2 linked regions of the Bombyx mori genome follow. The protein of the gene in region 2 binds, or shares a complex with, the protein of the main gene of each other region. Links are inferred from orthologs where the notes say so. Each region holds a gene or a part of one and is shown on either strand. Other genes may lie near its edges. The genes, in order: Golgi resident protein GCP60 and phosphatidylinositol 4-kinase beta.

Evidence for each region.
Region 1: the proteins of phosphatidylinositol 4-kinase beta (region 2) and Golgi resident protein GCP60 are in contact, whole or in part, in an NMR structure (PDB 2N73), measured with the Homo sapiens proteins. The link is inferred for Bombyx mori from reciprocal best matches to the Homo sapiens genes PI4KB and ACBD3. Residues at the interface, in NP_001317650.1 of Homo sapiens: Val37, Gly38, Val42, Ile43, Asp44, Pro45, Val47, Ala48, Gln49, Lys50, Ala51, Cys52, Glu54, Val55, Leu56, Val59, Lys60, His63; in NP_073572.2 of Homo sapiens: Gln245, Ile246, Ala249, Leu250, Gln253, Thr254, Gln257, Phe258, Tyr261, Gln265, Tyr266, Leu276, Leu280, Gln283, His284, Gln287, Tyr288, Gln291, Leu292, Val295.

What each region holds. Positions count from the first base shown.
Region 1 is NC_085124.1:9,512,459-9,516,976, reverse strand, and holds the start of Golgi resident protein GCP60, read right to left. Parts: upstream 3,130-4,518; 5' UTR 2,752-3,129; coding exon 2,607-2,751; intron 2,456-2,606; coding exon 2,242-2,455; intron 1,143-2,241; coding exon 1,074-1,142; intron 361-1,073; coding exon 256-360; intron 1-255. Other genes in the region: GATOR complex protein NPRL3, read left to right, coding at 3,869-4,067. UniProt on the Homo sapiens protein: Involved in the maintenance of Golgi structure by interacting with giantin, affecting protein transport between the endoplasmic reticulum and Golgi. Involved in hormone-induced steroid biosynthesis in testicular Leydig cells.
Region 2 is NC_085115.1:3,737,713-3,741,542, forward strand, and holds part of phosphatidylinositol 4-kinase beta, read right to left. Parts: intron 1,510-3,830; coding exon 1,243-1,509; intron 1-1,242. UniProt on the Homo sapiens protein: Phosphorylates phosphatidylinositol (PI) in the first committed step in the production of the second messenger inositol-1,4,5,-trisphosphate (PIP). May regulate Golgi disintegration/reorganization during mitosis, possibly via its phosphorylation.

The sequences.
Region 1 (4,518 bases), on a different chromosome or scaffold from region 2:
ACTTGTATGACTAAATTTGCCAGCATTATTTAATGAAGTATCTGTTGAATCATTCCAATGTGAAATTTTCTGATTATATTTTAACTGTACTTAAATATTGCCCATATTCCTATGCTATATTGGGGGTAGTAAAAATACTAAGCATGCTGATACTTACTTATAAAATTTTCTGTAATTAAGGAAAATTGTTTACTTGTAAAATTTATTTACACTTTTTTTCTTTTTTGATTTTGGAGTTAAATCAAACATACTTACACTTGTTGTTCTTCCGTTATTTTATTACTTTGCTGCTTCTGTTTCTCTAGCATGACTCTATTTTGAAGTTCGATTCGAGATCTTTCTTCTTCTTCTCGTTTCAACCTTAAAATTATTACCTAATAAATCAAGTAGACTGGCCAATGGCTGTAATGTGCCTCCAAAATATATTTATAAAATATATTGTTTTTATCTTTCAAGCAATATTATTTACGAAATTGCAGTCACAAATTCAAATTGTGTGTAAAATACATAAAATAGGATCTGGAAATTTCTTTTAGCTTTAAAGCGAGCTTTTTTTTTTAGCCATATAGATAGGCACAGAATTTGGTCAATAAAGTTTAAATTTCGTTGTTAGGTAAGTCTTCAATGTAATTCTGTTATCGATCTCATATCTCTATACAGCATTTACTTGAAGGAATCTATCAGTTCCAATCTACCAGCTTCAAACAAACAGGTAATGAAACAGGAGGTAGGCTTTTTGGTGTCCGTAAATTGGATTATAATAAGTAATTGTGGTTTGGACCTCATGTCTCAAGGTGAATGGTGACATTCATGCCTATGGCCTCCGGTAACCTCTACACATCATGTGGGCCCCGAGCTTGTGCACCCATATAAACAATAAAAAAGTGAGGTTGTGGACTCTTTCAACAGTCTATGGAAGAAAAGAAAAAGTTTAAATTAAAAACAAAACCTTGCCAATGTCAGTTTTTTAAGGCAAACTATTTTTGAAGGGAAGATTTTGTAATGTGCCCCAAAAACCAAGAAGAAACAAAGACATCAAATGTAGTAAAAAATGGTTAATTTTTTAAACTTACTCTTGTTGCATCTTTTGTTCCTTGTCCTTCTGTATAGCTTCCAAATATGGCTTGAACAATGGACAAAGTCTGTTGATAATAAAACATCATTCTCAATTTACGACTAGTAAGTTTACAAATGATTCACATTTTAGGCCGACATAAAATATATGAGTAAAATAAATGAATAAATAGAATAAATAATAATGAACAGAATAAATATTCTCATTATCTAAAACTCTGGTAGGACACTGAACTGATTTCAAAGCTCTATTGGACAAGCTCTTGTCTAACACAATTTATATAAATTCAACTGTAATTTTTAGATATAATAGACTTAACTAATAGAGTAGATATATGTTAATTTAAATTTACAGTCAATCCAAATAACAACAAAAATATTCTAAGCAAAACTAGGAATCTATCTGTTTTATTAAGTTAAAGGTATTAAACCTGTAAGTCCACATCATTGTATATTTTATCTTTGACTGTATGATTTTTTTGTTATATGGCTACATAGAATTCACAAAGATAGTCAGTCTAGTAAATAAGTGATAAAACAGCTGATACTGACATACATTGCTGATACTTTAACTCATTTTACAGATAAGAAAAATACACTTAAAAATATGGGTTAAATATATTGCGTGAGCTATATTATTTTTGATTATTCACAGATAGGTTATGAATGAAACTAATTTTCTCCAGGTTATCAGTGTACACAATCATCCTCCTGCTAATTTACTGTTTTTTTAAATTTTTTTATTGCTTAGACAGGTGGATGACTTCTCAGCTCACCTGGTGTTAAGTGGTTTAAATCAATACACACTTTTTAATTTTGGAAACTGTTACTTTAACGATTAAGTATTAAATGCAATTTAAAGTTCTTGTGGCTTGACACATCTAGTGTGTATTTGGGCATGGCAGAATGTAAATCCTTCAGGCACTATTAATTAATTGACGTATTAAATTGTCTACAGGTTCAGAAATAACCCTCACAATAAAAGATAGATATCATGTAATTAGTCTAGCTAAAAGGCATGATTTGCATAATTACTGATGGCAGGGCACATTTTCAATGTGAGTGACATTTACATTTTGATGTCTATAGAGTACAATAACTTAACAAAGAATGTGCTACGAGCTTGTCCAGCAATATTAGGAATATAAAACATATTATAATTCTCACCTGTCTAAAGCATGGACAAAGCCAGCCATAGCCTGTATTTGAGACATTTGACCTAATGCTTGCCAAGCTGCATGCCTATCTCTCCCTATCACATCCAAGACACCCAGAGGTGGTACAGAATTGGGATCAAATGGACCGTGCGCGGTTTGTTGTGTATAGGCGACCAGTTTCAGCCTGTCTTCATAGCTAAGATGTATTGCTTTTCCTTCCTTTTCTAAAAGAATAAAATTTAATTTTAGCTTCTTGACATTTTTATATTAGGTTATCTATCCATACCTTTGTTTTCCTTCTCTAATTTCTAAGAACATCATATCAGAATCATTGTTTTGATAAATGTGTGTAGCGGTAAGTTGTATGCCCATTACCTTTATAGAAAAAGACTCCATGTTTATATACTTCTTTTAGGGGCATTCCCCACTTCCTTTCTTCACTGTCGACAATGCCTTGATCTGTCTCTAGCAATACTTTTTCTGGATTAACTTTTATATTACTATCGATTTTACTAGCCATCTTATGTTTTTCTGACAGACTGCTGTACGCATTAAAATCATAGACCAAAATAAACCACAATCTCTGCTTTTACAGCGCAGTTTCATTTTTCCAAACGGAAAGACGAAGGTATCACACCGTACAGCCTAATTTTTAGTATATTCTGTTTTATGAACTGTTCACTAACTGTTGGAGTTTGAAAATATAATAGCAGGCAACACATGACACATCATTGCAGATTTCGAATATTGGAATTATTTTAAATATTTAAAAAAGCAGATGATTGTCTTCTCGTAAGTGAAGTCAAGGACTTCTCATCTAGACACGGTCAGAGCAGCATCTAAGAGTATTATAAAGATAATAATTTTATAATGGTGTAACAGTGTTCAATATAATTATAATGAAGCAGTGTGTTTTTAAATAGACCCTCATAAACCTACAAAACCCAATCCCCTCAAATTTAACCGTCCAACACTAACCACAGAAAACTGTAATGTATCTGCGGATTTTTTGGTGGGAACACGCGGAGTGAAGTTGGTTGAATTGTTTTATTTTGTAAATTTAGTGTTTCCTCGGGTTTAGATATGTAATAATCGTAGTTTATTAACTGTTATCATCTGAGAAAATGCACAAATGTGGGAAAATTAAACAAAGTCTTCGAACGTAACTTCTCAGGCTCTTTCAAAAGTCTCAGTCATCTCATCTCGTTTCATTTAAATTCATCCCATTTGATAAAAATCTGAAATTAATAAAATTTATCCCATTTCGCTTTATTTTATTTTTAGTATAAATAAGAGAAAATAAGAATTTGAACTTAAAGGTCTTAATACCAGGCCATAAAGTCTTTAAAAAACAAAGAGTATTGTAGTCTATGCCTAGTACTTATCTGTTTACCGAAATTAGTAAATTAGACTTAGTGTTTATATACGATACTGTGTTATTTACCATTAATTTATAGCAAAATATTAATTAAGAAATTCTTTACTCTTTGTCGCTGTGTGCTAAAGAAAAGTAACAATGACTGCCGTGAAACTATTTCATACACTTTTAATTGTTACTATTCACAGCACAATGAAATAAAGTAATCATTTAAAGCAGATTGAAAACGTGTATTTGGGTTTGACGCAATACTAAAATCATGGAAGTTAATCCATTAAACATATTTTTTGTGAAATCTGACAGCAAGGGCGATAGGCTTTTGTTTAGATATCCATATACGATAGAACATAAAGGTGAGAATAAACAGAAGAGATGTGGCAGGCACAACCCTTACGCAATTACTTCAACAGAGGATTTACTCCAGAATTCACAATCTCAAACGTCGAATATTTGCAAAGGTGAGGTCCTTCCAAATACATGAATAAAATATCCATCTACAGCATCAATATCTGTAACTGTTACAAGCTTCTTTCTCTTCACTCTCTTCTAATTAACCATTTTTCATTTTTACATCAATAATTTTGCTTAATTTATCATGACCTCAATTGAATGTAAACATAAAAGTAGAACTTGTTATGTTTACAATTATGTTGAAGATATTTGTTGTTTAAACACCAGCAGTCATACTGCACCAAAGACAGCTGTATATTATTAAGCACTTCTTCCTATTCGTACACTCTTGACAGAGTGGTCATGCATCAGTCGGATGCGACCTGCTCATGACTCTCGTGGGAAATAAGTGCAGTGGTTTCCCGTTGCCTTCTGCAATATTATGCACAGTACATAGATAATTGTTCATTAGTTACTTTTCTATAATAATTATTTTACATCAGAAAATGATTTTATTGT
Region 2 (3,830 bases):
CAGACCACTAGCTGTTGAAGCGGCTTGAACTCAACGAGTAATCAAAGAAGATACGAGTTGATCTTCAGAGCCGACCTCCCTGGCGTCATTAAGAATGACAATCTCATAACGACTTTTTCGCGCAATAAAACTGTGCGCAGGCTCTTTCTTTCGTGTTTTGTCTTTAGCGACCATATTGACTATAACCATCTGTTTGAATAATCTAAAGCACTATTTTATAGGGCTGTCTTTCACAAGTTTTTTATTACTGTTTTATCAATAGCAATGTACCACTAAAAGTCGATTAACTATGAGCACCCTTCATCTAACTCAAACAAAAAAAAATCAATTTCCAGAATAATGCATGTACGTTCAAAGTTATTGAGTAGTTTGGTAAATTAATTATGATTGATTCGTAGTTACGAATCGATTTAATTGTGTGTTCTCGTAAAATTAATTTGCCATTGTACGTAATGGTATTGTTAGTGATCTAATAGATGCCTTAAGCGTTATGCACTAGTGTATAACACAGAAGCGTTTTCATCTTTCATTTTAATTTCATTCGTTTAAAGCTAAATCTACTCATTATTATATAAATACAATTTCTAATGATTTAATTCCTCCACAATTACATAACGATTTATGGTAATGAAAGCGGATCTGTTTAAAAATATCTATGTGCATATTAAAATTTTATGAATGTGTTGATTTAATACGAATGAAACTATATGAAAAAACATAAAAGAAATTACATTATTATAATGATGTTACTAAACTAAAAAGTCTGATTCGCTTACACTTTTCTTGGCGATTTAGTGAATGACTCGTCAAAACTTTTGAATTAATACACTTTCACTCGGCAGGCGATGTGTGTTTAAGTCACTACCGTAAAAACTGAGTTCTTAGAACTCAGGTCTCGAGATGGGTGCCGATATTTACGTTATAGATGTCCATGGGCTCAGGTAACCACTTAACAACGGGTGAGCCGTGAGCTCGTCCACTCGTATTTATCGCTGTCAATCGCCTGCCTGACGTCAACCCTCCTTGGAAATGCTTTTTTTGGTAGATTGGCCGCTACCAGTCGGGTAAGGCGCTGGATATTTGCATTTAAATCCCCCTGTCGCCTTTTACAACACCCCTGGGAAGATAAGGGGGCGGAACTATTCTTAGCCGGATCCGTGCGGACTTACCACACCTCATAAGCAATATAAAAAAGCCAGATTAGGATCGGAGGTTTTGTTCTCGTGTTCTTAAAGTACGTACCTGCGACACGCTGTCGGGCGCGGGCGCTCTGTGGTCGTAATGAGAGCTGAGTTCATCGTCGTCATGACTCCAGCAGTCTCCGGTGTCCACGTCGTCCAGTGCCGAATACAGGGAGAGCGCAGGCCACTCAGGCACGAGGTTCTCCTCACTCTTCGTATGTCTGATGGGGGGAGAGTGGGGAGCTGGTGGCGCTGGAGGCAGCTGGCGAGGAGGAAGAGGCTCGTGCCCGTCAGTCTCTAGTACCTCCACGTACATTATGTACGGAGCCTGTGAGACAAATGTATCAATGTAATGTATTCAAATAATACAAGCCTCTGGGTCTGCGGAGGGACTTCGGTTCCCTCTGTATTTTGTACCGTATGTTCCATGGGGAGTGCTCTGAGGAATTGTTCGAGATGATACCGGCATCTCGTTTTTACCATCGCACCGCCCGCCACCGGAGTAGAGTTCATCCATACTACCTGGAGCCACTGCGGTCATCCACAGTGCGTTTCCAGAGGTCTTTTTTGCCACGTACCATCCGGCTATGGAATGAGCTCCCCTCCACGGTGTTTCCCGAGCGCTATGACATGTACTTCTTCAAACGAGGCTTGTGGAGAGTATTAAACGGTAGGCTCTGCCCCTGGCATTGCTGAAGTCCATGGGCGACGGTAACCACTCACCATCAGGTGGGCCGTACGCTCGTCTGCCTACAAGGGCAATAAAAAAAAAATAAAAAAAAAAAAAATAAAAAAAAAAAAACAGATAATTAGTTTATCATTCATCTTTTACAATACAGACGTGTGACCAAACTCACGGCCCACCTGGTGTTAAATGGTTGGCGGAGCTCATGGACGACACAACGTTAATATATATAAATATTTATTCTATGATTAAACAGAACTTTGTCTGTATATTAAATACATTTATAAGAATTGTTATAATTTCTTTTTGTTTTTTGCTTAGATAGTTGGACGAGCTCACAGCCCACCTGGTGTTAAGTGGTTACTGAAGCCCATAGACATCTGCAATGTAAATGCGCCACCCACCTTGAAATATAAGTTCTAAGGTCTCAGTATAGTTACAACGGCTACCCCACCCTTCAAACCGAAACGCATTACTGCTTCACGGCAGAAATAGGCGGGGTGGTGGTACCTACCCGTGCGGACTTACAAGAGGTCCTACTACCAGTCATTTACGAAGAGACGTCATTGCCTCGACCACTAATCTTCGATTTTTTACATGTCTATTTTTGCGTTTATTTGAGCATCGAACAAGGTGACTAGAGTAAAGTTTTTGTGCGTAAACAGTTTTGATTAGACTTTAAAATTATTTCAAATCAGCGAAATTTAGTTACATAACAAATTAGTGAATCCAAATTTCTTAACTTTCTTAACAGCTCAAATTCCGCATACATACATTCATAGCATTATTTAATCAAAATCCAACGCGGCTAGAGCCTTGGTCGAAATTCCCATATCTCCTTGGCAACATAAACAACTCACAATAAGCAACTCTAACAAAATTAAAAACAAACATTTCTTATTTATTTCTCCGTAAAGCCATTGAATAACGTCATAATGATAGTAAAGATAAAATACTTAATAATATTAAGCTATCGCTAGAATGTTACCGGTTTGGAGACATCTTAGATAATTCGATTATTTAATACGAGTACAATGAATCAATTAAGCTATTATACTAGATCGTGTTATTCAAGCAAATAGTTTTATAATATGTATTTGAACCTCTCTAAGGCTGAATCTAGAATAGACAATATTCTATTATTATAATTTTTACTTCCCTGTTTTTTTATAGCAGTGTTAATGAGCATAAAGCGGATTTTGAGTTAACGGTTCGTTTGAGTGACACAGGGATGTCTATAGTGTATTTAGTTCTGTAGAGTTAAATTTTCATTCGGGTTAACCGAAAGTTTCACATCACTACCTCACTGTAAAACAAAGTCGCTTTCTCTGTCCCTATATCCCTATGTATGCTTAAATCTTTAAAATTACGCAACAGATTTTGATGCGGTTTTTTTTAATAGATAGAGTGATTGAAGAGGAAGGTTTATATGTATAATAACATCCATTAAATAGTGGAGAAATCAATAATAAATTACAGTTTCCGAAGCGAAGCGACGGCGGGTCGCTAGTATTAACTAAAATAACTAACTAATTCAAAATATCTCTGATTCAATCACAATTAAATTCATGTCGTTTTAGAAAGAAAAAAAAAGGAATACGGATTTAGTCGTAGCTTTAGTTCGAAGTACCTACCACAGTTGTTAACCCATTGCGATTTATTGATATTATAATATCGCTGTCGTAATTTATATACTTTAAAGTAACTAAAACAGTCAGCTTCCGATCATCTAAGTCTCACTTACACTTTAAGAGACTTGTTTTCAAGCCAGATCTATCGATAAAGGTACAGCTACAATTAAATGAGCCACATAAACTTTTTAAAACTGATTGTTAATGCATTTTTTACTGCCCTACGACTTAACAGATTACTGATGATTAATTTAAAACATTATTAATGTTGTCGACGAGATACTGCACTGACAGGCTGTGCATTATGAATACAAAATATGCACACAGAACAAA